Linked DNA regions of Alligator mississippiensis. The protein of the gene in region 1 interacts with the protein of each later gene in a biochemical or structural test. Links are inferred from orthologs where the notes say so. Each region holds a gene or a part of one and is shown in the gene's direction. Other genes may lie near its edges.

What was found.
Region 2: the proteins of ERBB2 (region 1) and SH2B3 form a complex in vitro, tested with the Homo sapiens proteins (2 studies listed by BioGRID and IntAct, with this or other methods). The link is inferred for Alligator mississippiensis from reciprocal best matches to the Homo sapiens genes ERBB2 and SH2B3.
Region 3: of the proteins of ERBB2 (region 1) and PTPN3, one has a biochemical effect on the other in vitro, tested with the Homo sapiens proteins (2 studies listed by IntAct, with this or other methods). The link is inferred for Alligator mississippiensis from reciprocal best matches to the Homo sapiens genes ERBB2 and PTPN3.
Region 4: the proteins of ERBB2 (region 1) and CRKL form a complex in vitro, tested with the Homo sapiens proteins (2 studies listed by BioGRID and IntAct, with this or other methods). The link is inferred for Alligator mississippiensis from reciprocal best matches to the Homo sapiens genes ERBB2 and CRKL.

What each region holds. Positions count from the first base shown.
Region 1 is NC_081827.1:165,333,973-165,341,401, reverse strand, and holds the start of ERBB2 (receptor tyrosine-protein kinase erbB-2), read left to right. Parts: upstream 1-4,429; 5' UTR 4,430-4,668; coding exon 4,669-4,756; intron 4,757-7,429. UniProt on the Homo sapiens protein: Protein tyrosine kinase that is part of several cell surface receptor complexes, but that apparently needs a coreceptor for ligand binding. Essential component of a neuregulin-receptor complex, although neuregulins do not interact with it alone.
Region 2 is NC_081833.1:3,531,318-3,538,153, forward strand, and holds the start of SH2B3 (SH2B adapter protein 3), read left to right. Parts: upstream 1-3,830; 5' UTR 3,831-4,331; coding exon 4,332-4,895; intron 4,896-6,432; exon of another isoform or gene 6,433-6,553; intron 6,554-6,710; exon of another isoform or gene 6,711-6,836. UniProt on the Homo sapiens protein: Links T-cell receptor activation signal to phospholipase C-gamma-1, GRB2 and phosphatidylinositol 3-kinase.
Region 3 is NC_081828.1:77,596,253-77,604,268, reverse strand, and holds the start of PTPN3 (tyrosine-protein phosphatase non-receptor type 3), read left to right. Parts: upstream 1-5,011; 5' UTR 5,012-5,147; coding exon 5,148-5,196; intron 5,197-8,016.
Region 4 is NC_081833.1:18,949,711-18,957,670, reverse strand, and holds the start of CRKL (crk-like protein), read left to right. Parts: upstream 1-4,945; 5' UTR 4,946-5,046; coding exon 5,047-5,360; intron 5,361-7,960. UniProt on the Homo sapiens protein: May mediate the transduction of intracellular signals.

The sequences.
Region 1 (7,429 bases):
CAGCCTGCCTGGCTGGGGGCAGTTTCCATGGAGACCCCAGCAACAGCCTCACTGTGATAGTGCAAGGCCAGGGTTTCCATGGAGACTGGCCCCAGCAGCACTGGCAGGGTGCAGGGCCAGGGCAGAGCTGCAATTGGCTGCCTGCATGCTCCAGGCAGGGGTGTGCAGGCAGTGGATCACAGCTCTGGCCCAGCTCCTCCCAGCACCACTGCCATCACTGCCTGCCCCACACAGGTGGCAGCAGCTGAGCTTGCCCCACTCTCACCCGCAGCACAGCCCCTCCAGGCCTCCCACCAGGAAGAGTCTGGCGCTGCTGGGGTCGGTCTCCACCGAAACCCTGGCCCCTGGCTGCTGCTGGGGTCTCCATGGAAACTGGCCCCAGCTACTTGGGCTGGGGCTTCTGGGAAATGGAGTCCACTACTGACCGGATCTGGACTGCGACCCAGACTTTACCCACTCCCATTTTAGGTAAAAATAGGTGCAAACTTTTCCAGGCAGACCAATCCTCAAGTACCACTCTGTGTGTAAAGAAGGCCTAAGAAAGATAACATGGGTGCCTTCATGCCAAATTGGCAGAAGGTTTTGATTTGAAACTATCCAGGCCTAAGTGAGCTATGGGTCTTCCATCATGGAAACTCCTTTCAAAACAGTGCTGTAAAATCACTGACAAAGAGAGAGCCAGTTGCAATGCTAGATGGGACCAAACTCTTTGTCTTCAAATCAGCTAACATCCTTTACCAAGCTCACTCTGGGCTACCCTCCAAGATGCAACTGTGTTTTAACCCTCCCCCCCAATGTAAGAGGCTCCCCTTCCCTTCATTCTTCCTTCCCAGTCCTTGCACTCCACTTGCTTCTGCTCACTCACACACAGACATCTCAACCAAAGCACAATTGCTGCAATTGTAAAGCAGGGCCTGGCTGTTATCAGGTGCAGATTACAGAGAACACAGAGCAATAAACTTGTTTTCCCCTCTTTCTTTTCCCTCCCATTTTCAAACTGCTGCAAGAAAGAGAGGGAGAGAAAAAATAAATAAAACAACAACAACAGATGGGTTTTTTTTCTTCTCCTCTTGGCTGCCTGAAGGGCTCGGCAGAGGCTTGAATGGAGTTCATTCTCTAATAGTCCCTCCTTCATCCAAGATTTTCCTCCCCGGGGTGTAATCTGTCAACCCAACTCCTCCCCCAAACCACCCTCCCCTGCCCTGTGCTCTCCTTCAACTCAGAGACAGAACTGTGGCAGTCTATTGTAGCCCGGATGACAACTTCCAGCTACATGAGGAAATGAAGTGAGGTCTGCCAAAGGGAGCAAGCTCCTCATATTAGTCTTTTCAGGCTGGGGACAGGCACCAAGCAGTAAGCACCAAATTCCCAGCAGCAGCATCATGTCAATATCCACTCAGATCCAGTTCGCACATGTACTTTAGAGACGTTCCAGGACATAACCAAACTACCCTGTGCTAGTGGAAACATTTAGGATTTTAACTAGCGGGCTCTTCTCATACGCATTATCTTAAGAGTATTAACTAGCAACAGTTCCTTGTACCGAGAAACTGAAGAGGCTGCTCTTAAGTTGGGATACAGTATATTATATAGAAGAATAACTCTGAGATACTGTACCCCTCAGAAGCCTTCTGCCCGCCACGTTCAAAGACCTTAGAATATGAAGCCTCACAGTCTCCTGTATTTAAGATCCGTTGTGCTGTTTTAGAGCAAGGGAAACTGAGGCCTAAAAAGGTGAAGTGACATGTCTGAAGGGGTCCAGTTGGGTATGGCACAGATCCCAGTATGGGACCTGGGAGTCCTGTCTCCCAGTCACCTGCATTGACTAAATTAAGCAACCTGCAGTAAGGAAGTGACAACTCCTTGGCTCAGCGCTCAGTTACATTTCAGTGTGGAGGGCTGAAGTTTAGAAGGCAGAGCTGGATATGGGACCAAATTCAGCCTTGGGGCAAAACCACTACGAGTCCTTTGAAAAATCAGGGGGAATGGCAACATTATGAGAGCATCATCCACACTGGAATTGGCCCATTTGAGTGCATGAATGGCACTTGAATGCTGACTCCCTAAAGAACTCCAACAATAAGCAGCAAAAGTAACTGATCTGTCTTGGGGCTTTTAGTCTTGTCACGCTCATGTCTGGATAATCTGAATCAACGCAGGCTAACACCCTCTATTCAGTGAGCTAGAACTACCCTCTCACATAACACTTTATGGCTGGGGTGGGCAAAATGCAGCCCAGGAGCCAGATGTGGCCTGCCAGGCCATTTTATCTGGCCCGCGGGGCCCCTAAAAAATTTAGAAAATTCATATTAATCTGCCCTGGGCTGCCTGTCATGCAGCCCTTGATGGCTTGCCGAAACTCAGTAAGTGGCCCTCTGCCCAAAATCATTGCCCGCCCCGACTTTATAGGATCCTTTTTCTTCCTGGCAAGGTAAGGAGATGGGGCAGGCTGGAAGGCATCTTTCCACAGATTTTCAGGCCATAACGGGCCTTACTGATTATCCAAATTTACCTTCATTATCCTAATTAGGACTTTTCCATGGCATCCAGCCCATAGTAGTACCAGTTATTTCCTCACCCAGAAGCAAAGAGAGGTCTCTGCTGCTCAGTTTCAATCCAATTTGACTTTTCACAAAGTTTTGCAGTGCTCAGATTCAGGATCTTGATGCTGGTTCATCTACCAATCAGGGATTGAATAGGCCAAGAAATCCATCCTGGGAGCCTCTCAAGCTCCACCCACAGACCAAACTCCTCCCCTTGAGAGGTCAGAACAAAAGGCCACTTACAGATCTTATACTTTCACCCTTCTCCTTTCTCAGATATCCTTATCAGCAGCAACATAATTAACAGTGAATACACAAAGTAAAATGTATCAGCCCTGATCCACAGACTTCAGAGCTAACACCAGGCAGCAAGGGGCAGTTCACACCCCATGGATCTTTTGTTTCAGACTTTCAGCAAATTCAAGCAAAGATCAGCATTTATTTACAGTCCAGGATCTGAAGACTTTTTCACATTCCCATAAACACCTCTTAAGGAAAGCTTGGATTCTGGAGTGTAAGGAGGTCATCTCCACATAATCTCCTTGTGACAACACCACCCTGGCAATTTACAACTCTTATTTCTCCTATCAAGAAATGCCACTAATTAAGAAATATCAGGGGCAGGAGTGGTGATGTGAGATGCTAAAAACTCCAAGATCAGACTATTTTTCTTACAGCTTGAAGGAGGGACAAGGCGGCAAGCACCAACAGACAGTCTGATTTCTGAGGGGCTGAAGTTACTGATATGGGAGCTGGTGCCATCATATTTAAGTACCCCACAATTTTCCTTGCTAATTATTACACTGCAGTGTGGCAGGGCAGTGCCACTGTCCATCTATACAGAGTGGGGACTGGATCACAGTGCATCTACATGGCAGATTCTCCAGTGTATACATACCCAAACTTGCTGTACAGGAGCAGCTGCACAGAGCTCATTGTGAGCCAAGCTGTTTAATGGTAGTCTGGGTATCTTTGCACGTCAACGTAGGCTCAACCCTTACGTGACTTACCTACTATAGTCTCACACTGGAGCAAAATAGGGAACCTGGCGGCCACAGGACACTGGCAGCCCACATCCTCTTGCTTTACATGAGGTAGGTTAAGGTGTTTGTGGTGTCTTTGGGCAATATTCCTTGCAGTTGTGCAGCTGGGTTGATTGTGTGGTTTTAGGAACAGGCTAGACAAGGACTTGTATGGGATGGTTAAGATAGGCAGGGGGTTGGACCAGATAGCCTCCAGAGGTCCCTTCTAGCCCTGTCTTTATGACTCTTGGGCTTCCTATGATAGGAAGCCCAAGAGTATCCTAACACTTGCACCTTCCTTCCCTTTTGAAGGGGTTCAGCACCCTCACAGCCAACTGAAGATGATGACAGGCTGGGATTCACAGATAGGTGTAATGCCTATGCTTGGCATTACACCTATTCTTCAAAGGATCCTGGTGTTAATTTGGGCCCAGGGCCCAACCCTTCCCAGTGAGAGAAGCCTTTAAAAGCCCATCCCCTTCAAAAGCCTTCAACCCCCCTGGAAAACCTAGGTACGTATTTCACTGGTGTCTTGGGAACTGCACTCTTTTGGAAATCCATTGCTCAACCTCAGCCTGCAGAATGGCAGTGAAACCCATCTGCCAAGCCTCTCTCCCTTACACTCTCTTTTGTCTTTCCCTGGAGTGATTCCTAGAGCTGTTTGCCAGCTTGGGGGTACTAGAAAAAGAGATTTCCCCCCCACCAAGGCATAGGCAGAGATCAGCCCTTCCAGGCTGCAGTGTCATCCTATTTCTTCACCTCTCACTTGACTCAGATCTGTGCCAGGGCAGCCCGGGCTGGGCTGAGAAGGAACGAAAGAGGCAAAGAGCAAAGTGAAATCGGACTGACCCTGAAGCGGCAGCACAGGGAGAAGCTGCTTTCCCAGGAGGCGCACAATGGTCTTGGCACAGAGCAGGCACGGAGTGCCTTACCACTCCCAAGGGAGTTGGAATCCAGCTCAGGGGCGCGCCGCACGTCCCGAGGAGGAAGTGCAGTAGCAAAGTGGTGTGTCTCTGAGCTTGCAAAAGCAGGGAAAACACACGCGCGAACTTTCCTGGCCGGACCCCCCTCTCTCTGCCAGAAGCCATGGGCTGGAGTCTGCAATGAAAACGATGATCTCTCCCAGCAGCTGCTGCTTCTTCATGGGGCTGCTTTTAGCCTCTTTTTTGCCAGGCTTCTGGAGCACCGAAGGTGGGTCAGATTGGAAACGGAGGGGAGGGGGGAAAGAAATGGGGGAGGGGGTTGGAAACTGGAATGGGACGCTCAGGAAAGGGAGAAACTTCAGAGGGCCGGTGGGATGCGAGGGAAGGAAGGCAGCAGCTCTGGATCTTGAATATTCCGGACTCCAGCACCCCCGGGGGGGGCGGGAAGAGTGGGTGGAAAGCAACCCCCCAAAACTTCTGCTAAAGTTCATGGAACTCGCGTGGAGGCAGAGATCAGACCCACGGGAAGAATCGCGGTGAAGTTCCTCAAAGATTTAGCCGGGAAAAGCAGAAAACAAACTCCCCACCGCGAAGAGCCAAGTGCGAGGGGAGCCGGGAGCCGGGCAGGAGAAGAACTGGTCAATTACTCGAGCCGCGAACTTGACCAGGGCCCGCGAGCCCTGCAGTGATCCCGCCCGCTTCAGCCGCCACTCCAGTGTTGTTTCGTGGGGTTCATACCCCAACCAAAAAGGGCGATCGCTGCTTTTCTACCCCCGTCTCACTGTGCCGGCACCATGCCACAATCGGACGTGACCGTGAAGGCAGCGAGCGAACTGCAGTCGCTCTGGGACTGGCCGCGGTGCGGGGCCGGGAGAGAGAGACGGAGTTGGTTTTTAAAATGGTTTCTTTCATTCCTTTGCTGCTGCGCTGAGGCAGAGGGTGGCTTAGACATTTCGGATCTGTGGAGGGAGGTTTTATTGTTTGGTCGGTCGGCGATTTTGCTTCTGGAGCAGAAAAAAAAAGCAATATAAGGCAGGCACTAAAGTTTCAGGCTTGGCACTCTTTGCTCTCTGCGTGCGGGAAGTAAGGGGAGTGTGGCTAACTGGTAGGAGCCGGCTGGATCGCCTCTCAGGTGCTGGATGAGCTACGCGGCTCGGCACATACACTTGCATTTAGCTCGGTGTCCGTAGGGTCGCATCTGGGCCACTGGATAACCCAGAGAGGAGTTTACTTTGCAAAATTGGGAGTGTGGGGTTCTAGCTGGGCTTTGCAGCAGGCTTGGAAAGAGGTGTTTGTTTAGCAGGTTACAAAACACCTGATGGGGAAATAAGCTAGATGGCAAAGGTGTGGGTTCTCTGCATTGATGCAGATGGCAGTGTTGTTACCACCTCACCTGTCCTACCCGCTGGGTCAAGCCCTTTATGGCAGCTGAATGCTGTGAGGCTGCGGCCTTATGGCTACAAGTACATTTTGTTGGGGCAATTCTCACCCTGGGAGAGGAGAAAGGCAATCTAGCAGGTAGGGCTGGGAAGGGGAAAGGGGTGGGTAAGAATTACCTCATGAAGGCAACAAACAAGTCATGAGCATTTTCTGATTCCTTAGCTGGGTATGGGCAGGACTGGCAGATTAGGCAGATCCACTTGATGCCCATTTCTCTTAGCTCTGTAATACCCTCGATTTAGTGATAACAGGCCCTGAGCCTCAAAGAATAGTTTTTTGTGTCAGACCTGGCATCCTGAAGTGCTTCACAGACTTCACATGTACAAGAATAACCTCACTGCATGGTGATGCAGCCACTGCTGGGGTGGAGCTGCTTCATAGTCTAGACTTTGCCAGGTGTAGTCCTGGCAGAAGAGCCTTACAACCAGCCTTCCCTATGTCCTACCTTCTCTGTGCTGAGGGAAAGCTCTGCCTCTACTTGCGCCAGGCTAGCTGGAACTCGTGGAAGGAGTCTAGATAGTCTATATCCTTTAGCAGGCTGTGCCATGAGGCTGGCCCTGGTGACATGGTGGTCACAGTCCAGAAGAAGGCTACCCAAGAGTTTGACAGGAAGTAAAAGGAAAACTCCTTCAAATGGAATCCACAGGAGGGAGCAGGATTTCACTTGGCAGAATTTATTTGGTCAGGACACCTGCTCTTGAAGGGTGGAGCAGAATCCCACAGGATTCCCATATTATATCAAGTAAGGGTAAATTAGCTTGATACCTCAGCTGAAAGACAGAGCCTATGCCCCTGCTTGCTATGGTTCAGAGGGAGAGCTGCCTAGTGCCTACTGCTGCAAGAGCACTGTTTGGGTTTCCCTGTGGGTGTGTCTGTCTGCCTCTCTCTTTCTCATACACATTCTCTGTCCACACCCCATCCTATTCTGCTGGTGAGATCCTAGCAAACACCTGATAGTAAGTCACTTTCCCTAGTTCACATGCTAACCTGATTTGTCATGTTTACCTGGAAGAGAATATCTTACATGAACAGCCACATCAAATCCCCATGAAAGGGAACCCGTGTGGGGAATGTGGGATATTCTGGTGAGATCAGAATGACAGGGTTCCAAAGCAAACACCAGCACCATGCTGTTAACACTCCTGGCATTAAGAAGCCTGATCTGAGATTTTTTGGAAGGTCTTTGCAGAGGCTAAAAGTCACATTAGCTCCAGTCCTTTCTGGATGGAGTTCAGCTTGTGTGTGGTCCCATATACAGGTTGCCGTGCTCATGTTCAAGTATCCACAGCTCAGGCACCTGTAGAAACTCCCTCAGTCTATAGCATTACAAAGTCACTGCTGCAAAACTACTTTAGACAGTGGGTGGTCTGAACGAACTGAGCCTGACCTGTAGGATGTGGGGCAGGCACACAGGCCATTTACTTTGGGCGTGACTGCAAGGTTTACATGTAGTTTGACCCCTGGGGTGAATCTCTTTTATTTATGTATGTGCATTGTCTGA
Region 2 (6,836 bases), on another chromosome or scaffold:
GTGTTCTTCCCTTCCAGCTGACTCCTTTTACACGCTTACATCTTGTTGCATGTATTCCTGAACACAAAACCATTAACCACCCAGCTACTGCTCACCGGACAAGTGCCAGGGGAGCCCAGCCACACAGCAGTGCACCCAATGCTGTGAATAATGGAGGCACCTCAAGTGCCTTGACCCCAATAGGCAGGTTTGTGCATGTGAAAGTAGACACAAATGTGTCTGCGGGTCCAGGCGTGAGAGTTGCACGCCAGTCATAAGCCACCGTGGAAATGAGTGTTGCTGTCTTTAAGCAGTGTTGGACAAAATGTGAAGATCGAGGTGATTCTTGCTCTGCAGAGGTCAGGGACTTTGGCTAGGTGTAGGGAGGGCGAAACAAGGGATAGGAATCCCAAAAGGCATTACCTTCTGGGTTTTTTGAATCACCTGCAGAAATTGGACTTGGTCTTTACCCAGACGCCCGTCTGAGCGTGTGAGATGGCAGCGTGTCTCTGTTCTGCAGCAAAGGCAGCAGGAGGGTTTGGTGTCTTCCCAAAAGGCTTCGTTCCAGCAAGGGCTTGAGGATGATCAGATCGGTCACTCCCGGTGCCAGCTGACTGACTGTACGGCCGTAAGCCAGTCTGACACCAGTACGTGGGAGAACTTTGCCCACACAGCTGAGTTTGGTTCAAGCGCGAGGTCTCCATGCAGCAAACCGCAGAACACAGCACAGGGCGGGGGTGGTTGAGCCTTGCCCGCAGACTTTGTTTGAACCCCCCTTTCTTCCCCGTAGTAAATGAACATGAAATAGGGCAATGCATGCACCTCGTCACCTCCCACACGAACGCCCCTTGCTAAACTACCGCGCCCTCGGTCTGGGCTGCGGGGAGCCAGGCGACTTGATACTGAGAAGCCGAGCACAAAGGTAAGTAAGCAGGCCGGAAGAGCAAACTAATTAAACACAACCCCCTGGGCAGGCCGCTATCTGGCTGGCTCATTAATTAAAGAGGGTTTCCTCTCTTGTGCAGACTGACCTATTGTTCTGGCTCTGATGGCCTCCCATCAACTTAATCCAGACGGAGCTGTCTAGGGATGGAAACATCAGTCCACACCCAGCCTGCTTGCTTTTGCACACTTTGGTCTCCACTTGTGCTGCTTATTTTGGCTGGGGAACGTGGAGATGCGTTGTGGTGTAACACGTGGCAAGTAAGTAGATAGACCTATCTCAGTCCATTCCTTCACGGCTCCCCGGCGGAGCCGCAGCAGTCACGGCTGGCACGCACGAGCCTTGCCTGCTCGGATTTGTGTAAATCAAACAGGACTGCTGAAATCAGTATCTCCCCTGGGAACGAGACCACGGCCCGGCACAGGTGGATCTCAGAAGCTGCAGCTACACTGTGTATGGGGACGTGGGCATACAGGTTATTTTTATTAAGGTGATTTTGTAAGCTCTGTGCCCTGAGCTTCATCCTGCGCTCACCACCTCTGCGTCGCCCCGTCTGGAAAACAGTCTTTTGAAGCAGCCGAGAGAAAATGGCATTGTTGCAAGAATCTCTTCGCCCTCAGCATCCCCTCTGGGGCCTGACACCCAAGACCTCTTTCCAAGGCAGGCCTCAGCGGTACCTTGTCCGGGTATTGATGGAAATTGCAAACTATTTCAGAGCCCCATGTTTTGCCGTGTTGGGGAACAAGTGGAAGGGAAAGGAGGTGGGGGTTGCTTTAACAGTGGGAATGTCAGACTCCAAATTTTGAAGTTGGGAATTTTAATTGTTTAAAAAACTGGGAAATTCGCGTTTTGAGCAGTTTGAGGTCATGGGCGAGGGGAAACGGCTTGTTCCCTTGTCCCAGGTTTCAAGGCAGGGAAGACTGTTCTCATGCCAGCTGTGCCACAGCCTTTCTGTATGACCTTGGGCCAGTCACTGAAGGCGCGTTCACCCTGCCCAGTGCAGCGCCGTGTCGGGATGCAGGAGTGAGCTCTACTTTCGCAGCAGAGCAGGGCTCTGCCGGGGCTAATTTACCACGAGACGCCCTCGGCAGGTTTGGGGTATCTCCGCGGCACTGTGCAGTATAGGCGCAGCCTTTGAATACAGGGGACCAGCGTCTCCCTGCCCCCCAGGCTGTGATCTATACACTGATGACCGGGAGGCACTTATGATGCCAGGGACATGTGTTAGGAAAGGCAGGCTCAGCAGTCAGCGGTGGTGGTTCGGGGAGGCTGTTTAAACATTACCCAGAGCATGTGAGGTCAGGACTTCCTGCTTTTGCTGGATGACTGGAGAGTCAGTGGGTTTATTACGCAGAGACCGGAGCTTAAACACCCAGCGAAGAGAAGAGACTTCTGAGTCACTGACTGGCCTGGGTTTGTGCAGCATGCACCGCAGCAAGCTGGACTGGAAGGGCCTGTGGGCTATAAATAACAATGCTGTGAGGCTTTTGGGGGCGTCCGGTAATAGCTACTGGCCTCCACCTCCTGACAAGCGGCTGGGAGAGTGAGCTAGAGGAGAGGGGTGGGCTGGTAACATGCTTGCTGGCCTGCAAGGGCCTGGCTGCCCACTCACTGTCCCTGGGACGGTGGGGGAATTCCTGAGCCCCCCGACGTCAGCGGGAGATTTGCGACAGGCTACGATGGAGCCTGACTGCTACCCGGGGCGGCCAGCTCAGTGGGAGCAAGAGGCAGGAACGTACCCTCCGTCTTTCCCTTCCGCTTCTGGCGCAGCGGGGACTGGAAAGCCGGGTCTCCCGCATGGCACGGCGCTTCCTCCTCTATTCTTACGTTTCGGTGCAAGTGCCTGGCGCTGCCCCTCGGAGCTGGGCTCTGCAGTGCCCCCGCCTCATGGAAACATCTGGATTCCAGCTGTCTCCGGCTCCTGCTTCCAGTTCATGGCCACTAGTCACAGAGGAGAGGAAACGCGCTCGAGACGAGCACCAGGAGACCATGCAGGCTGGGCTCACTTCTTTCACTCGGGAGGTTCACGAGTGCTTCCTCAGGCCACGATCAGTACGAGTCTGCCCCCACTCCCCGCTTCATGTTACTAATAAGCCAGCGGAGAGGCTGCAAGAGCTCGTTTCCAGCCAAACTCCAGTGTGCTGGGTTCGAGTCTCGTGCACGCTGCTGTCGTGCCAGGTCTCTGGGATTGTCTCCCATGAGATCCGAGCCCCCTCAAAGCCAGCAGCAGACAGCGCGCGCCTGCTCTCTGCTGTCATTTTGCAAATGGCAAGGGAAACCCCTGGCAAGGTGACCCTCCAGCACCGTGATGCTCAACCCGGGGGCCCCGAGATCCTTTTGGTGTCACATGTGCCAAGAAGAGAAACCCAGAGACCTCGAATAGGACGCCAGAGCATGAAGAACATGCTGAGCTGTTGTGGTCTTGCTGAGTTCTTTGCAACAGCAGAATTGCTTGATTATTTTTCCACAGTCAAGCAATGAGTGAAAAGTAAGCACTGGCATTTTCTAAGGGGTGCCGTAAGCCTGGCACGGGGTGCCTCGAGTCCAAATAGGAGCTGCTGTCCGCAGAGGCCAACAGGCGCTGGGTAGCTCGAGTGGCAAGGGTCTGTCTGTGGTACCAAGGCAAGGCACGTCTGGTTCGCAGATCCTCCTTGGAAGCCACGTGGAGGATGCCAGCATGCATTGTGCACAAACGGAGCTCTTGGGTCAGAGGTGGGCTCTTTGATGATGAGACCAACTAAACAGTAGCAAAAAAAAAAGATTTCTTTGCAAACTTTTGGGTACACGCACCCTTCTTGAGGCCGAGTTCTCCCAGGTAGAAAAGAAACTTCATTTTGCACAGGGGAGGTAGAGGTGGGAGTTTATTCCCCTGGGAGCCTCAGGGCCCTTTGGCGAGAGGGCCGCTCTGCGATGCTCGGACGAGGCCGGCTTCTTCCCTGGAGGTGTCCGAGGTCAGACAGGGAGGTGAAAGCTTCTTCTTTCTTGGCTCTTGCCTCCGGCTTCCAGCGTATCTCCCTGAAGCACGCGTGCATGCCATTTTTGCAGCAGCTTATTATTCACTCTTACTCCTAACGACAATTCAGGAAGTGACAAAACTCCCCTGAGCACCGCTCCTGGCAGGTGACGGATGCATCGAAGCACAGGTGTCCGGCGTGCCAGCTGCTCGCCACGCACCGCCCTGGCATCGCTGTTGCGGCGCTCTGCCCTGCTCCTCTTGTGCCGCAGCGAGAGCAGGACGTGCGGCGAATGCAGGACGAGGCGTCCCCGCTTGTCCTTGCCGGAAGAGGGGCGTCCTGCTCTGTGCCTTGGCACCCTCCCCCCCGGAGCCGGAGCTGGAGCTGGAGCTGGAGCGTGACTTTGTTCCCTGGGCTGGCCAGAGGCAGATGAATGAGGAGGCTTTCAAGAGCTGATGCCCTATAAAAAGCTCTTGTTTGAGACAGAAAACAGGTCTCCGCCACCCTGCGCCAAGGCCCCGCTAGATGGCACCGGGGGTCCACGTATAGCTGCATCCCTCGCCTTACGCACCAGAAACGCGGGCAGCAATCCGGCCTGCGGCTTGCCCTGCACCCAGCCCCGGAGCACCTTGCGGGGGAGCAGCGCCCGGCCCGGCCCGGGGCAGGGGCAGGGGCAGGGGCGGGGGCGGGAGCGCGCTCGCCCTTGCGCGCAGGTGTTGGCTATTAGCCGGGGCTCGTCAGGTGCGCGCCCACCCGGGGCAAGAGGAGGCTTTCCCGCGTGGCAGGGTGAGGCACCCAGGGCACCTCAGCCCCTCCAGCAGAGGAGTCGGGCCGGAGGGCTGCCGCTGCCCCTACCCCTGCCCCTCCTCGCCCGGCACGAGGCGCGGGCGGAGCTTGCGGGAGCGGCGCGGGGACAGCTCCGCCCCAGCCCAGCCCAGCCCGGCCCGGCCGAGCCGGGCGAGGTGCAGCCGCCGCGCCATGGCCCCGCGCCGCCGCCGCCGCCGCTGCTGCTGCTGCAGGTAGGGCCGGCCCGCGCGCGCGTGTGTGTGTGTGTGTGTGTGTGCATGCACCCCTGCCTGTGCACGTGCGTGTGCATGCTCCGGGCGCGGGAGCAATGTGGGCTTGAAAAGTGCCCCCTGTCCCTGGCCGCCGAGGCGGCAGGACGTGTGCGCGCGGACACGGCGGGGAGGCCCCGGGGCCACGGGTGGTAGTGGCGCTCCCTGCCGCGCGTGGCCGTGGAGCACCCCGCGCGCACTCACGTCCCACCGCGCGCCGAGGGTGCGGGCCCAGCTCCAGCGCTCTCAGTTGAAGTCGAAGCGAAGCGAGCGCGGCTTTGGCGCGCTTGTCTTCGTCGCGGGTCTCTGAAGCACGTTCACCTTCAAAGGGCGTGTTGGGAGGAGAGAGAGGGGAGGGAAGCGACCGGCGAGAGCAGGCGCGTGTGCCTTCCTGGGGACGCGGGCCCGCGTGCTCTCTGGCCCGTCTCCCCTCCGCGCGGCGGGCGCCCTCGTCCGCTGTGAGCAGCACGTGCGCTCTAGGGGCCTCGGAGCGAGCCAGGCCGGTGGCGCTCCTCTAGGTTGGCGTTGGACGGAGATGAGGATCGGCCCGCTTACTCCCGGAGCGTGTTGTGTAGGTGTGTGCACGTACGGCCTGGGTTGCTTTCCCCGCGCTGTGTAAATCGGTGATAACTCCACCCGAGTCGGTTGGGTTATCCCAGCCTGTACGGAGGAGCAGGAGTCTGGGTGTTTTTAGTCATGCTGGGAGACCTCCCAGTGGCTTTTTTTTTTTTAAAGAAACATTTTAAGCGCTCACAACCTCACCGGGCTCGGTCCAGAAGATGGTTCTGATGCGGGCCGAGGAGCCTGACGGGAAGGGTCTAGGGGAAGGTTTGTCAGACAGCACCCGAGTGCCCGCGAGCGGGGGAAGAGACAGCCTCCTGGGGAGAGCCGTGAGGTGCTGCACCCTGCTTCCGCGCAGCGAGCACGTCGGGGTGTTTCAGGCCGGGCCGTCCTCCCTTCTGGGTCCGAGCTGCTCTTTTCGTGATGGATTGCAAGACAGGTGCGTGTTGGGGGGAGGATGTGTGCCTGGATCCGCAGGGCCGGCTCTGAGGAGCGTGCGCAGAGCGTCTGACCTGACACCGGACACTTGCCTGCGAAGGCAATGTGGGTAACCCCATCCCCTCTCCTCCCTGGCTCCGGCTGCCTGTAATCCTGGAGCGACGAAGGGGGTTTTGACGCCGGCTGCTGTTGGGAGCCTGCAGCCCGGTGCCTCGTGGGGGTTGCTGGGCCACGTCCAGCCAGATGCAGCTAGGCTCCCAAGTCATGACAGTCTTCAAACTATTTGGCCTGTTTTGGGGGGGATTTTTTCCCCCTGCTTGAAAGAGCCGGTTCACTGTGGCAGGGGAACCCAAGTTGGAAGCTAGGGCAGGAAACTGAGTTGCAGCATCTGACAAAGTGAGCTTCAGCACACAAAGGCTTGTGCTATAAATATACGTGTGTGTGTGTGTGTGTGTGTGTGTGTGTGTGTGTGTGTGTGTGTGTCTCTAGAAGGTGCAAATCTACCCTGCCTTCTAGGAAACGGAGAGTGCCTGGCATGAGGCTGCAGCAATGCAGGACCCGGCGCGGGGGCTTGAATCTGGCTGACGGGGCGGCCTGGGAAGCATGAGGACCCGTGGAGCCAGGTGACATGCACCTTCCAGGGGCAGGGAGGGGGGAGGCAGGGGACACCCTGCAACAGCTGGAGGGAAAGCCGGCCTGACGGCACCCACCTGCCAGCATGCCCGGTGCCCGGGCACAGCCTCCAGACAGAGGTGGGGGCACGGGGACAGCAGCACATCCTTGCTGCCGGGGTGCTCCCTTTAAGCTTGCAGAGCTGCCCGAGGAAGGCTTAGGCTCCTCCCTGGCTGCTCCCTCTTTGTGATTAAATTCTCTCCAAGAGGCTCAGTTTCCATCTGACTCTGTGAG
Region 3 (8,016 bases), on another chromosome or scaffold:
CCCTTATAAGATTTACACCAATGGTGGGCATATATTCACCCTTACCCTGGTCATCCCACATCATGTTAGGCAGAGTGGTCCCTTTGGGCTGGTGAAAACTGGACGCAAAGTAATCATTAAGTAGATTGGCTTTTTCCTGAGTGTCATTTGTCAGCTGCCCCAGTTGGTTTAGCAGGGGTCCAATGTTGCCCTTGTTTTTCTTCTGACTCCCCACATATCTGAAAAAGGACTTTTTATTGTCCTTGATTCATGTAGCTAGTTTCAGTTTGGTTGCAGCCTTCGATTTCCTAGTTCACTCCATACAGGTGCAGACCACTGCCGAATACTCCTTCTTAGTGGTGTTTCCTGTTTTCCATCCTTTATAAGTCTTTCTTTTTAGACATAGGAGGTCCATGGGCTCCCTGTTGAGCTAAAGGGGTTGCTGAGCCCTTTTACCACCTTTCCTATAGGTTGGGATGGACTTCCCTTGTGCTCCAATTAGAAAAAATACAAAATCTGGTGATTTTTTTTTGTCCTTTTCATTTTTTTTTTTTTTTTTTTGCCATCCCAGGGTCTTTATGTTCTTAAATTATTTTTATTTTTTTTACTTTTTTATGAATGTACTACCAAATGAATAGACTGATTTAAAGCAGGTATGATTTATTAATTTATGGATATTTATTTTTCACATTATGATATGTGATTTTATAGTGTTTTTAACAGTATATTGTCATTATTAAATTATCTGCCCTCCTCACCCCTAATTTCGCACTATCCTGAAAATTTAAATCAATAAAGATCTAAATAAATGCTTAAAAATAAACATCAATTTTAGTCATTGGAATTTTTTAAAAAATCCAATTCTACCAAGCCTAACTATATGCAAGTCATCAGCACATAATACTAGAGCTTATGGGTGTCATTTGGTTCTTCAGATGGGGGTGCAGGTATGTGGACTGTGAAGCAGGAGGAAAGGAACTCAAAAGGAGAAAGTCAACTGCTGGAGAAGGTAGGTGTTAAATGAGTGAACATTTCATAATGTTGATATTATATGAAGCCTAGCAACTTTATGCCTAATTAATGAGTATTTTTGTGTGGGTGTACAAATATTGGAATGGATCCAGTGACTTGGCTTTGCTAGAAACCCATGTTGTGGCAAACTCATCTCTAAATGGTTGTATAATGGTACAACTCAGTGGCAACACATAGGGGGTGCACAGGGGTGCATGTGCACCCCCGGAGAATGCTGGTGCACCCCCTGCCAGGCCATGCTCCCTGTTTAGGCGACCAGCAGCGGGGCAGGCAGGAGTGCCAGCGTCCTCCCTGCAAGTACCAGCTGGGGAGTGGGGCCACCAGCAAAAGTGGCCAAGCTGCTTCCAGACGTGGCTATGGGACTTCTGGAAGTGGTGTGGCTGCTTTTGGTAAGTGTGATTGGCCACAGGGACACCTCCCCCCTACCCCGGTCAGGGCACGTGGGCCCCCTGAGTCAAGAGGCACCAGTTGCCCATGGTACAACCTGCCGACAGTTCCAGCTTGGGAATGGTGCGAGCAGGGCTAGCATAAGACTCTTTGCCATTCTAGGCAAATGAAATTTTGCCACCTTGCCTTTTTGTTCTTGGAGGACCTGACATTAGGCAGCCCCTTCTGCATCATACAGAACCCCCCAGGTTTTTCCCAGTAGCTGCTGCACCTAGAAGTGTGGCATGTGGTGTGGCTGCCCTGTCCTTGAGCCTCAGGAAGCTAGGCATGGCCCCCATGCCACTGTGCCCCAACTCAAATGTAGCTTCAGTGGCAGCAGTGTCCCTTGGGAGCCTGCCCAGAGTCCCCCATGCACTAGCAGTGGTGCAGCACCTTGCCCCTCAGAACAGCCCTGTGGTACCATGGCATACAGGGTGCTGAGTGGCCAGGCCATGGCAGCATCTTGCCAGGCTGACCTGCTGGTTCTTGATTCTGTTTATGCTGTCCCTGTCTGGCACCTACCTGTGATAAAGCCTTCTCTGCTGCTGTGGTGGCATCATGCCAAGCCTGGGCCCAGCCAAATGCATGCTCTGTGTGCCCATCCAAAGAAATGTTTTTCCTTACTCCTACAATTTGCCTTCCTAGGTGGCCATCTGTGCTGCCTATATGGCTAGTTTGGCCCTGAGTGGAAGCCCTCTGCCAAGAGACCCACACAAATGTGTCTGCACACAAACAATTCTTTCATATTGAAGTATCAAAACATATGAAAAATGAACACAAAGATAAGTTTAGCTACTACAAAATACAACCTTATCAGAACTTGTATCTGTATTTTCAAGACCACCTCCATGTGAAAAAGTTCATTTTGGGGGGAGAGAGAGTGAAAGCATATGGTCTTGGAGAATATGGCATGCCAACAGAATTAAAATGACAGACTTTTATTTATCCAGGTGAGATAAAGGCAGGAAATGTCCATATGAGTTCATTTTCCTCTGGGCAATGGGCTTGCTGTTTCTAGGAAGACTTATTGTTTTTAGAGGTGAGAATTGATTTAGTTTCTCTCACAAGGTCCCACTGTGAGGGAAAAAATGATCATTTGCCAAATTTCCCAATCTCTCTCTCTTTTTTAAAAATTATTATTATAAGTTCATGTTCCATTAAAAATGCAGCACTTCCCATCTCTGGTCTTTCAAATGTCAGCTGCCTACTGTCTTCCTTGTTACAATATTTTACAAGTGACTAATAGCAAACATTAGCTCCCTCATGTCACATTTCCTACAGAAGGTTCAAAGTACTCTATGAAGAATGGGAACAGTAATTATCCCCCTTTTACAGACCAGGAAACAGAAGCCCCAAGGGATGAAGTAAGTTGCCCAAACTGGTTGAGCAAATCAAAAGTAGTCAGGAACAGAATCCATACCTCCCATTTGCTACAGGAGAATTGCAACAAAAGAATTGCTCTAGTATTTTCTTTGCAACAGAAGAAATGCTCTAGTATTTTTCTGTAGTAAAAAAAAACAGTTAAAAGAACTGGTATTTTTTGAGAGGGGCCTTGAGTCTAATGAGGGCTGCTTTGAATCTAAAAAGGTTGAGAACCTCTTCATTAGACAGTGCTGCCTCACTTTCAGTAGCTTATGGTATGGCCAAGCATGCAGTAGAAGGGAAAAAAGGAGGATTTGGGTGTAATAGGCACACACTGGACCTGCCTCTGTACTGAGGCATGGGTGGCCAGGTTACAACCAAGCCAGTCGGCCCCATGCTGACCAGAGGAGCCCCACTGAATGGCCCAGAGCCCAGGGGCAACAGGCCAAAAATAGGCTGGAAAATGGAGACAGGAGGAGCACCCGCTGGGAGACCAGAAACAGCTCTGGCTGCTCTCTCCTCCACTGGAGCACCCAGGGAAGAGCTGCACACTCCCCCCTGCTCGAGCACACAAGGAAGTGGCAGATGGCCCCACACTTTTAGGAAGATGTGGACAGATTGGAATCAGTCCAGCAGAAAAAAACAAAAATGATTAGAGGACTGGGAAGCATGACATACAAGGAAAGGCTTAAAGAGTTGGTTATTTAAGAGAAGAGAAGACTGGGGGCAGGGATGATTTGATAACAGTCTTCAAATAACTGAAGGGTGAACCTTAGGAGAATAAAGATTGACTTTTCTCTATGGCATAGAGGACAGGACTAGGAGTAATGGCCTTAAACTGAAGCAGAGGAAATTTAGGTTGGCGATTAGGAGGAACTTTCTGACTATGAGGGAGGTCAAGCATTGGAACAGGCTACTTAAATGAACTGTGTAATCTTCAGCCCTTGACATTTTCAAGAGTACGTTGAGACGTTACTTGATTGGGATGGTTTAGACAGGGATGATCCTGTCTTGACCAAGTGCCTGAACTAGATGACCTTGTGAGGTTGTTTTCAGTCCTACTTTGCTATGTTCCTATAGCAACACTTCCCATGACTGGTGCAGCTCAAATCATGAAAGATCAGAGCGTGTCATGAAGGCACAGTCCAGTGTTGGGTGTGATGTGGAGCTCCAAGGCTAAATAACTATTTAAAAAAAGCATCATCTAAAGCAGGGGTGGGCAAAATGTGGCCTGCAGGCCAGATGTGGCCCACCAGGCCATTCTATCCAGCCCACAGGACCCCTAAAAAATTTAGAAAATTAATATTAATGTGGCCCTCGATGGCTTGCCAAAACTCAGTAAGCGGCCATCCACCCAAAATAATTGCCCGCCCCTGATAAAGTAACTGGCAAAGAAAAGCCTTTTTAACAATTACTCAATATTTATTTATTGACAAAGTACCCCAGTGTTTCTGGTGTTTCAGACACAATATAATCATTTTAGTTATGAGGCTCAAACGCTTACTGCTGAACAACTTTCCTAAATGATCAGTCATAATGTTGCACTTAAGTCTATAATAGGAGTTTTGTGCCTGCCTCAATAGAAAACAAACTAGTAAATGTTTAAAAGAGGAAAACCACCAATTATTCCATAGCAGCACACTATCTTAAATCCCCAATTTTATTATTTTGCTGGACGAGGAGTCTGAAGTATGCATAATAGATCACATAAATACAAAACATAAAGAATGACTGAAAGCAATTACATTATTGAACACAAAATTTTAATTTGTCACTGTTTTGCACATGTACCATAAAAATAAAGTAGTCCAAAACAGCACATATAAGGAGGCTTTATCTGATTCCAGTTACCACAAGGCACCCAAATATCACAAGAAAAAACAAAATTATAATACTGTATAATATACTTATTGTACTGTGTTGGTTATTCAGTATTTACTTTATGCAGTATATCTTTATTTTAACCCCTTGTATTTTTTGCAGGTTTTCCAGTACCAAATTTAAACCTAGTTTTGTTTTAAAGCATGTGGACTGTAAAACTGTGTAAGTACTGGAACTTCAAATGAAGTGTTAGGTGACTACTCCCATTCACAAATCAGATGCACGCTGCATTTTTAAGGGTGGATATTTGTTGCAATGAATCAATTAAAACCTTTTCTGACACGTTAAATGTGTGTTCCTAGACCTGTTTCACAGGTTTCGCAGAAGGGAAAATAACAACATGTGACAGCACCTAGGAGCCAAATGTACAAGAGAAGATCAGAGGTTTGCATGAGTGAGCTTGGCTTTCCAAAATACTTTTTGAAACACTATTAAAGGGACTGTAGAAATATCCAGCACAGAGCACCATGGTGGAGCAAGAGATTTTGCAATCGTGTAGTTATCCTCCAGAAAAATGTAAGTGTGAAAAATTTGATTTTTGATAAGAAATGGAGAAAATGAAAGAAAAAAATTTAGCTATTGTAGTTGTAAAAGTATGGGAAGTAGTAAAGAAGTCTTCAAATGAATAAATGTAGAAGCAATTAGCTTTACCTTTATGAACTTGTAAGCTTGATGGGCAAAAGAGAAGCGTTTTTACCTGAAGGACTCTTCTATGAAGCATTTTGAAAGTTTTTAAATGTAAAACTTGCTGCTTTTATTTGCAAACTTTATTCATGCTATTAACTGCTTCAGTATTGGAGACATGAACAGTGAGTTTTTGTTACCTTGAAATAACTTGCATAATAGACTGAAGCGCTGGGAAAGCATTTTCTAGCAAGACAGGGCATGAAAAATACAATATGCAGAGACTTTTTTCTTAAGTTGTCAGGAAGCTTTCTATCCCTTTGTCCAAATATCAGCTGAGGGTTATCAGCACTGTCTTAAATTCAGGCAGGAAACAGAAGTGAACTGTCACTGAGCTTCACTGCCAATTTAATATTTATTTTAATACAGGAAAATGAAACAGTAAATGAATAAAATATCGCTTTTTTTTCTTGTTTTTGGAGGAGGAAACATATGGGGGGGCTGTCGGTTTTTGTTTTGTTTCGTTTTCTCGTTGGTGGTGGCAGTGTTATTAAGGAGTTATCTATCCATTTTTGGACAAAGGCAAATATAATTTTAAGTACTGTTGACTAAAAATGTAGCAGAAAACCAAAAATTTAGGAAACTAATTACTAATGGGTATGGATTGAATAAGTCTAAAATGGAGCTGTTTAAGCAAAATCATAAAGAAGGGTAGAATTTGGAACTGATATGCCCGTAAACCTCTTGGATGCCCTGCCAAAGTGAAGCTTCAAAGTCAAGGCAGTTCCCTCCTCCTGAATATAGTGCTTTCTAGCTTTTAAGTGACTTGGCTTCTTTGTTTTGGCAACATAAGATTTGATAACATGTTATCGCCTCAGATTTGCTTCTAATAAAAGGACTGGTTTTCATCTGAAAATGAAGATGTAGTTTGCTAAATGTTCTACAGGGTTTTCCAGATACATGGAAGAATTTTTTTTGAGTGATTAACAAGATAACAGAGCCTCATCTCCATGAAAACACTGAATCTCCAGGAGTGGAAATTTATTGTCTATTTTGTCCTCTTTATATTCTGTACACTCCTCCTTTTACATGAAGGAGAACACAAGCTTGAAGAGAAGAGGGCAGCTTTTTTTCTTTCTCCCACTGTTTATTTCCTACCTGAGAGCATGCTTGTGGTGTGGTTCCCCTGAAAGAACCATGCCAGTGAGCTGAAAAAATAAAAACCCACTCCCTCCTCATACATATGACTGATGGTTATAGAGGTCTTGATGGAAAAGACATAGCATCAGACCTTCAGTTCTTCAGCACCGATCAGTACAAATGGGCTGTAAAATTGGATTCCTGAAAATTATCTCTGAATATCAAAGGATCAAGCTGTTCCCCATATTCCTACCCCCTGTATAGGAGTGGGGGCTGTTGCAAGGGAAGTATGATCAAAACACAGCTACCCCCAGCTGCCAGAACAGCTTCCTCAGAGCAGCAGGGAGCAACTTAGCACTTAATACCTGGGGTGCTCTGAAATGTTCTATGGGATCAAACCACTTCTGGCTGCTTTCTCGGAGGCCTCAAGAGTGGGGAGTTACAAGGGTAGCATTAATCCTCCTTTGCTGTCCAGATTGGTTCTGCACTGGGCCTTGCTTGCTTGGCAGAGGAACAATACCCTAGGAGGATTTTGATGTCAAATGACTGCAATGGACATTTTCTAAAATTCTTAAAGGATGCCAAGAATTGTGGTATTTGTGGCTATGGAACGGTAATGCTTTGTTTTGTCTGCAAAGTGCTCTTTTTCTATTCCAGTGAAATCTGTGTGCAGAAGCAAACAGTTGTTTTATTTTCAGATTTGTTGCAGTCTGTGTGACAGAAATGAAGTATACATAGTGCTTGTTTGTGGTGAGCTTAATTGTGTTCTCAATCTAAAATAACAGCAATATTGGATTGAAATCATACAACTGCTTTTTATGGACTATATAAGGTCAATGAAACTATTAAATTATTCCTCTGCACATAGTTTGTAGAACTTGGTGGTGTGTGTGGGTGAATGGGTAGGTGGGTGCATCTAGACATGCTATTAGTGAGATGCAATAAACTCTGGTGCACTTTGCACCACTCATGTGCTTTAAGGCACAGCATTTACATGTGCACCTGGAACCACAGAAGTCTCAGCCAGGGTGGAGCAGCCACAGACTGGCAGAAAGTCCTGGGGGTATGCCCCAGGCTCAGGGTGGTGGCAGAGGGCAGCAAAGTGGCCGGCTGGGGCACAAGGGTGCTATAGCGTGGGGCTAGCCTGGAAGCAGCCCCCACACTTTAGCACCCTTGTGTCCTAACTAGCCCATGTCACAGCCTACACATGTTCAATCACATGCAAATACTCTGCCCTAAGATAGTACTGTCCCTGACAGACTATGGCGGAGTTAATTCCTGTGCCTTAATACCAGTGCATGTATAGACTGTGACACTTTAGTGTGGACCTAATTAATCTACTCCACAGTAAAGCTCACATGTAGAAGCACCCAGTGTGTGTGTGTTTTCTGTCTCAGTTTTGACACCAAACTGAATCAGTACTTCATATGAGAAAGAGCTTATTGCAACTTGCTGTGTAGAATCAGCAGCAGATTGATAGAAGACTCTTTTTAGCAAGGCTTTGTGAAAGGGAGTGAACTTAATACAGGAATGAAGGCTTGTATTCAGCACAGTGAAGAAAATCAGGTCTAT
Region 4 (7,960 bases), on another chromosome or scaffold:
CTAGAAGCACTGCAAATGCATTAACAAGTGTTGCATTCAGCCACAGTTTTAATTGATGGTATGACACAATACTGCTAGGTTACTCTGAAAATGTCTGTTCTAAAGAAAATGGTTATACATTTTCTTTAGGCAAAAACATACACGACTATGGCCCCAAACAATTCCTTTTTAAGATATGAACAGTATGTTCTAAAGTCATGGTGTGTGACTCATCTATCTGCACATTTGCTTTAGTAAGTAACACAGAACTTTAATGTACTTTCAACCAAGCTGGTTAGGAATGGCTCACATCAGTTATAAGTGGATCTTTTCAAATGCATGTGTTTCATAATAAAATGTCTTAGCTTTAAGCTGGAAACACATATTACATGCAATGGTAAGCCCTTTGTAGTTCTTGTTTACTGGGGAAAAAAAGCATCCTTTCCAGAAATAAATTGCAGGAAATGGTACAGGTTGATGTGTTCAGTAATCACTGATGGTATGATCTCTAAGGAGAGACATTTTTTGAGGGCCTTGCCTTTACAAGCTCAAATAAGACTTGCACTTTCTGAAAGAAAAGCATGCCCTAGTAAAGGTTCTATTTGTTTTAACCCAGTTTTCAGTTATTTTAATTCCTATGATTTCCTGAATATGTCAGCCTTGTGTTTTTACTTTTCAGGGAGTTCTGGGTGACAATGGCATAGTACAAACGTTTCTAGAAATCGGAAAACAAACCTGTGGAAGAGCTTAAATGTTCAGACCAATAAAGTATAAGTATTTTATTCTGGTCAGATCAAGTAATTAAACACTGAAAAGTTCATCTTACTGATATATTGGGAAGGTCAATAATTGAGTTTATTCAATTGTTTATCTAATTTCCTGTAATGTTGTCCCCAGAACAGTAATGATGTTCAATATGCAGAAGTCTCATCATTGAACCCATATATTCTTTTCTACTTATTTACTAAGGACATCTCAAAATGTCAGGAAATCCACTTCTGCTGCAATAACTGTAATGACAGCAAGAACATAAAGTCAGGCTTCAAGCTCTAAATGCTAAGGACAGGGCTTCACTTACCCCTAACTGCAGAGTGAAAATACAGAATTAGAGAGGTGATTGTTCCTATGCATTTACAATCCTGACACACAGCTCCATTTAGCACAAAGCACCTTTTAAACCCTTAGAAAATGTTACAGTTAAGAGAGCCCAAACCCAGGGTGTGCTACAATGTGCTTTCCTCAAAATGGAGGCAGTGGATTTAGAACAGGGATGATATAAAAGTAATAGTTTGAGATGGGAAAGAAGGGAGTCACTGAAGAGAGATTTGAAGGGGGCAGAACTGGGTATTGCTGTTGAAAAAAGGAAGACAATCTGGTTCAGATGCAGGAAATGGTATGACAGAATGCTTCAAGCCCAGAGTTGGATGAAAAGTATGAAGGCAGCAGTGAAGCGAGTGAAAAAAGCACAGATGTGGGTAAGAACCAGATCATATCTTGAAGGTGAGGATAAGGAGGTCAAACCTAATGCAGGAAGAGGAAGCCAATGACAAGGTTCAAGAAGTGAAGAGATGACTTAGTAAAAGCATTTTTAAAGATTGTGAGAAAAGCATGGTGCATACAGTAGTTGGGACCCTTGATATTACACAAGCTAAACTGCTTCTATGAAAACAATCTTTTCAGATTTCCTCATTCTATTTGCATTGCTATAACAAAAAGGTACTTGACATTTCTAAACTGTCTTTTAAATCAGAGAGGTACCAAGCCCACAGCCCACTGGTATTTGTACTGAAAGTATTGCCATAACCATCAGGGTGCAAAGGTCCAATGTTAAGATTCCCTATTATGTTCAAGTATGCAACATAACATTATACAGTACTTTGGCTGAAGCCATAGCTGTTTAACACAGTTTGCAGCCTGCTGTTTGGATTTTTGCTGGATTTGCACAAATTTTAGTGAACTTGTTTACTGAACTTTTTCAGGGTTTCACATTTGGAAGAGAAAAATGCTTATTTCTGCCTCCGCTTTTGTTCCAGAACTGCTTCTCCTGCCATTTCCCTTTTCCAAAACAACCCATCACCAAAAAATCCAACTTTCAAAATTGGTTTATCCGTTTTCATCATCTTTATTTTCAATCAAAGGATTTTGAATGTTCACTACCAAAACAAAATAAAGAATTCCATCCTCTCCTGTCCTGTTGTCACTCCCAGCTCACCGGTTATGTGATTGTCAGCAAGTCATGACTGGGTCTAGTTTAAACCAGGATCTAATTCAGCTACAGCTGTTTAACTAGAAACAGGAATTACTTCACAGAAGTCCAGCAGCCTGTGTGTATGCAGGAAGTAAAAAATGCAGGTTTGCAGTAGTCCCTTCTGGACTAGAATTTTTGGATCCTTCTCTGTCTAAGAGATGATGTTCTTTCATTCTCACTCAAGAAAGCAAGGTAGGAAGTAGTTCAGTTCCATACAGCACAAAATTCCAGATTGGTTCCCACGCTACCTATCCAGAGCAAAGATATTACAACTAGACCAACATATGTTTTCTAATAAAATATTGCTTACTCTTGACATTTTAGTTGCTTTACTAACTAAAGAGAGTCCAGACAAAACTGGAATAGAATCTTGAACTAGCTTATCACATCCCTTTGCTATGATCTGGTTTATTAGAAAGTGAAAGATGAATTAGTAAGAAATTAACACTAACTTCTTCACTGTTGTTTTTTAACTGTCCCTGATTCTGCCACTTAATCACTGTAGCCTTAGACATATCCACTCTCTCTACCTCAAGTTTTCCCTTTGGTAAAACCGAGATTATAATACTTGCCTACTTCAGTGATGAGGTTTAATTTCATAATGCTTGTAATAGAGTTGTGTGTATAATGCTTTTTATCAAGTATTTTAGAAGCACTAATACAGCAACAATGCTTTTAACTAAAATATTATAAAGTGAAAATGCTTTCTCAAGTTTCCTATTTCAGCCATAATTACACTGAGACATGACTGAAGCCCATGTTTCAATTGGTGAAAGGCAATTTTATGAATTTCACAATCTAATCAACTAGAGTTGTGAACTCTTAATAGGAGTTGAACCCAAGGCAAAATTATTAGGCATCTTTTCCAAGAGAGCTATGGCATAGATATGAAGCTGTAATGATATGAAGCTGTAATTGGTATTCTTCACACCTGGGCCTAATCAATGTAGTTAGTACATATTACTGTAGGCTGTTACAGATGTCATTTTCCTCCTGCGAGATGACTGTATTTTAGTGGTTGACACGGTGATACCTGTACATGTAAAATTAGGGGGGGGGTCTTTGGGAGCCTTTTATACCAAGGCTGGTATGGATACTCTAGTTGAAATGAGGTTCTGGATTTGATGCAATTTCCACCTTACATGAATTAGACAGTTATGAAAGTTTCAGTAATAAGATTTGGATTCCTGCTGGACTATTTATGAGTTAACAGTTATACTGTAAGTAACTAGCATAATTTTACCTAATTTTGCCAGAAAAATTGTGACCCCTGCTATCAGCGTGGCTGTTGTGTGCAGCTGTTTCTTGGATAATTTAAGGTTTTAAAAATAAGTTCCTGTTTTGTTAAGTTTTTCTTTGTTAGGCCCATGTTAAAGTGCTATAAAATTACAGCCCCTATTTTCCAACTTACAATATTTAGGCTTTACACCAGTTGCCATAGAAAGAGCAAAATACGTTGGGAAACTTGCCAAACATAGGAGCACAATCAGCAGCAACAGGGTACAAGGGAAAGAAAGATGCGGTATTCAAGCTGGAACGAACCCTGAACAGGGTCCAATTAGTAACGAAAGGTTATTTGTCTTCAGTCCAGTTCTTAATGCGAAGAGCCGTTTGACATTTCAGTGCCGTGTTTCTTTGCGGCCAGGGCGCCAACCCCACAAGTTGAAGGAAACGTGAGTCGGACTCCAGAAAAATCACTACACAGCCCCCAAATTCAGGGTGGGCTTCCTGGTCTGGCGGTTTCGAACCCACCGAGGCATGTGGGTGCGGCGACGTTCTGGGCCACGACAAAGCAGAGGGCAGCGACTGGGCCTCTCGCTGCCCGGGAGGGCGCAAGCTACCAGCTTTTACCACGGCTGGTTTCTCGTGCCCAGGCTCCAGGCCCCATTGCCGCGCGCTCATGCTACGTGACCCTAACAGCCGTGGGTCCGCCAGCGTCCGCCACCCAACCCTGGGCCCCCAGGCGATGTGGGGGTAGGGTGGCCATCACAGACGACAGTCCGGTTGTCCTCTATTGCTACAGAACCGGATGCCTTTATGTCTCCTCTCTTTTTCTCTTGAAGCGAAGGCCTAAAAACAGGGCACATAAAGGCATCGGGTTTCGTATCAACATAGGAGCAGACAACCGGAGAGTCCTCTACGATGGCCGCCCTACGGACACCCCGTCCCTCCCTCCCCGCGCAGCTCCTGGGGCCGGCCCCTCCTAGGGTATCGGCAACCCTCCCCGGGAGGCCGGTCCGCCCCAGCCCCCACGAGTGCTGCCGGCCCGGGAAAGCGGACACCCAGCCAGAGGGTCCGCGGACAAGATGGCCGCCGGCCGGGGCTGCCCCGCCACATGGCCCCGGGCCGCGCCCGGCCGCGCCGCGCCCTGCGGGGGGAGGGGGGCGCGGGGCGCGGGCCGCAGCGCCTCACGGTGTCCGGCGAGGGGGATCCGGCCCGGCCTCCGCACCCCGCGCTTGGCGCGGGGAGGGGCCGGGGGCCGCGGAGGGCGCGTGCGCGGGGCGGGGCAGCGCCTCCTCCCCCCGGCCACGAAAGGCGCCATTTTGGCGCTTGGCTCCGGGGACAGCGAGCGCCGGGATAAAGCAGCAGCCCGCCCCGGAGCCGGCACCAGCAGCGCCCTTCGGCCCGGCCCGGCTCTCGGCGCGCGCAGCAGCCGGAGCGCGAGGCGGGAAGGGAGAGGAAGGGGCGGGAAGGGAGAGGAAGGGGAGGGGAGGATGCCGCGCACGCCCCGCCGCTAAGGGAGACGCAGGGGCCCACCCGCCGGCCCGCCCAGCCGCACTCGCCCCTCGGCCTGGCCTGTGAGTGCCGCCGCCTCCGCCATGTCGTCCGCCGCGCGCTTCGACTCGGCGGACCGCTCGAGCTGGTACGTGGGGCCCGTGTCGCGGGCTGAGGCGCAGACGCGGCTGCAGGGGCAGCGCCACGGCATGTTCCTGGTGCGGGACTCGTCCACCTGCCCCGGCGACTACGTGCTGTCCGTGTCCGAGAACTCGCGCGTCTCGCACTACATCATCAACTCGCTGCCCAACCGCCGCTTCAAGATCGGCGACCAGGAGTTCGAGCACCTGCCCGCGCTGCTCGACTTCTACAAGATCCACTACCTGGACACCACCACGCTCATCGAGCCCGCGCCCAGGTACGGACCCCCGCCCCGCCCCGCCCCGCATGGCCCCTCCGCGCCGCCGTCCAGGTGCGCCCAGGTGAGGCGGCGCCGCGCTGCCATGGGCCCGGCCCGGCCCGCTGCGGCCGCGGGGAGGGCGTGGCCGGCGCTGGAAGCGGGTCCGCCCGGGGCCTGGGTGCTGCCTCTTGCTCATGGGCCCGGCCCAGGCACCGCCGGCTTCCCCCTGCTGCGGCCCTCTCCTGCCTGTGCCTTTTGGGGCGGTTTTAAGCCCTGGCAGTGCGGTGGGCAGCCCTGCTTGACTCATCACATGATGTAATGACATTCATGACTGATCTGCTGTACTCGGGAAGGCGCATTTTACCAACTTACGTTTTAAAAACCCACTGGACTGCTGCATAAGTCGGATTCAACATTTTAATGTTTATGTTAATGAATGCCTTATCATTTATCGCCCCCCCAGGTGACTCTCCGCAGTCTCCTGGAGACTATATCTTAATTCCTGGAGCGTGCAAGGCAGTCCCGGAGGGTTGGCAACCCTACCTGGCAGAGCTGCTCTAGGTGGTGGCTTCATGGTCCTTGGCCTGTTTTTTAGGACTGTATTTTCCATGCGTTTAAAGCCGAGCCTCCCTATGGTGGGGGGTTGAAGGACCTGCCGTTGTCCATCTGACCCTGTGGTGTGGAAGGGCTCTGTATCTGAACATGTGCATCCCCCTGCCTGCGGCTTAGGGCTGGAAAAGTTTGATTTCTTGTATGGGGAGGGTGGCGTTTGCAACTGGTGCTGACCCATGTTGATGTGACCCCTGCCCCAGCTGTGCTAGTGTGACTGGTCAGCTAGTGCTTGCCCTGATGTGTGAGGCAGTTCCCAGCTCTTTGCATCCAGTACAGACCCGTACAGCTGAATCATAAGGGAACATAGAAGCAAATATTGATAGGCCAAGTGCTGCTTTTTTAAAATGGGGTTTTGGCTTCCTTCCTCTATTTGAGCAGTTTAAAATTCTCACTGCTTGCATCTGCTCATGACTTCTACTCCTTCCTATTCACCTAAATTGATTCTTGATCAGATTTGGAGCCAGATTTAGCTTTGCCTTTAATTACTAAGGGTCAAATATTCTTGTCCAAAAGAATAAGTGCCTGAAGAAGGAGGAAAGCTTGGAGCTGTCAAGAAAAGCTTCTTGGTCGAGATAGCAAGCAAGGAAGCAGTTCTCCAAGGAATGTGGTAGAAATGTCATTCCTTAAAACTTTGAAAAAATGGTGTATAGGTAACGATTGTGCTTTGGCAGGAAGATGCCTGGGCTGGACGTTCACTGATGCTCCTACACAGCTGCAGGAGCAGTTGGATGGAGATGTCCAGCATTTCTGTACAAGTTTGTCAGTGGAGGAATGTGGCTCGTTGGTGACGCTCCTTTGCAGTCTTTACTTGCTTTCAGTTGCTGGTTGGGTGCTGTTCTGTGACTGGGTTTTCTTTTAACCCATTTGCTATTTTGATCCTATTAGACTTGATCCAGACAAATGTGCATCTGGTATCTGTTTGGAGGTCTCAAATTATGCATGGGTGGATTTGCTTCAATTATATTAATATGCAGGCAAAAGTACCATAGAAATAAATCCCTCTTCCTACAAAAAGAGTTGGGTTGTCAGTTATGTTGAACTGCTGAGCTTCCTGTAACTATTGCAATACTGCAGTTTGGACTCATTACAAGAAAAATCATACTGTACCCAAAGCTGTCTAAATCTTTACTATGAATTTTTGTACTAAAGATTAGAAATTCAGTGACTTCATTAGGGTGTAAAGTCTTCCTAAAAAGAGGCCACATTCTGGAAGGAAGAGGTCAAGATGTAATATTAAAGAATACGTTATCCACTGGCTCTTCTCTTCAGTGAAGTTACTCCCTCCAAGACCTTGGTTGGGTAGAAAAGGGCATTATGCATAACGCAGAACTGCTTGTTTGTATAGTGAGTGAACATTTGATGTACAGTAGCATTTTTCTTTACGAGAGCTGACACTATACTTCAGTAAACATTTCAGAATCATCTATATATCGGTAACCTTATTTTGAATTGGCCAAGAGTTTGTCCATCATGGCAACAGCCTCCATGCCCTCTTTTGGTTGCTCTTCACTTTCAGCCAGCATTAAAATTGTCCGCTATGTAATATATTTTTCATGGTAACTAGATTTGTACTTTTTATGCGAGTATAAGAGAAGTGAAGATGCAAATACAAAGGCACTAAAGTACCAGCCACAGGGTTTCTTACCATGTTGTTTAACTCTCACTGGTAAATTCTGTCTCATTTACATTTGTACTTCCCAAGTAATTACCGCAAGTCATGTTGGACTAGTGGTGGGCAAAGTACTGAAGAGGCATTTTGGTGAGTTGTAATTGTGAATTATTCTCAGAAAAAGTGAATATGAAGATGGATAGTAAGTGAATGAATGTGCTGTAAATCGGGGGTGGAGGATATGTCCAAAATATGGACTATGGTCAAAATCCAGCCCACAGAGCCGTATTATCCAGCCCCTGATGCTGCCCATGGATCTCAGTCACCCACAGGCAGCACGTCGGGTATTGCAGGATGACCCTGCGTGCTGCATACTGTGCTCACTCCAGATCTGGAA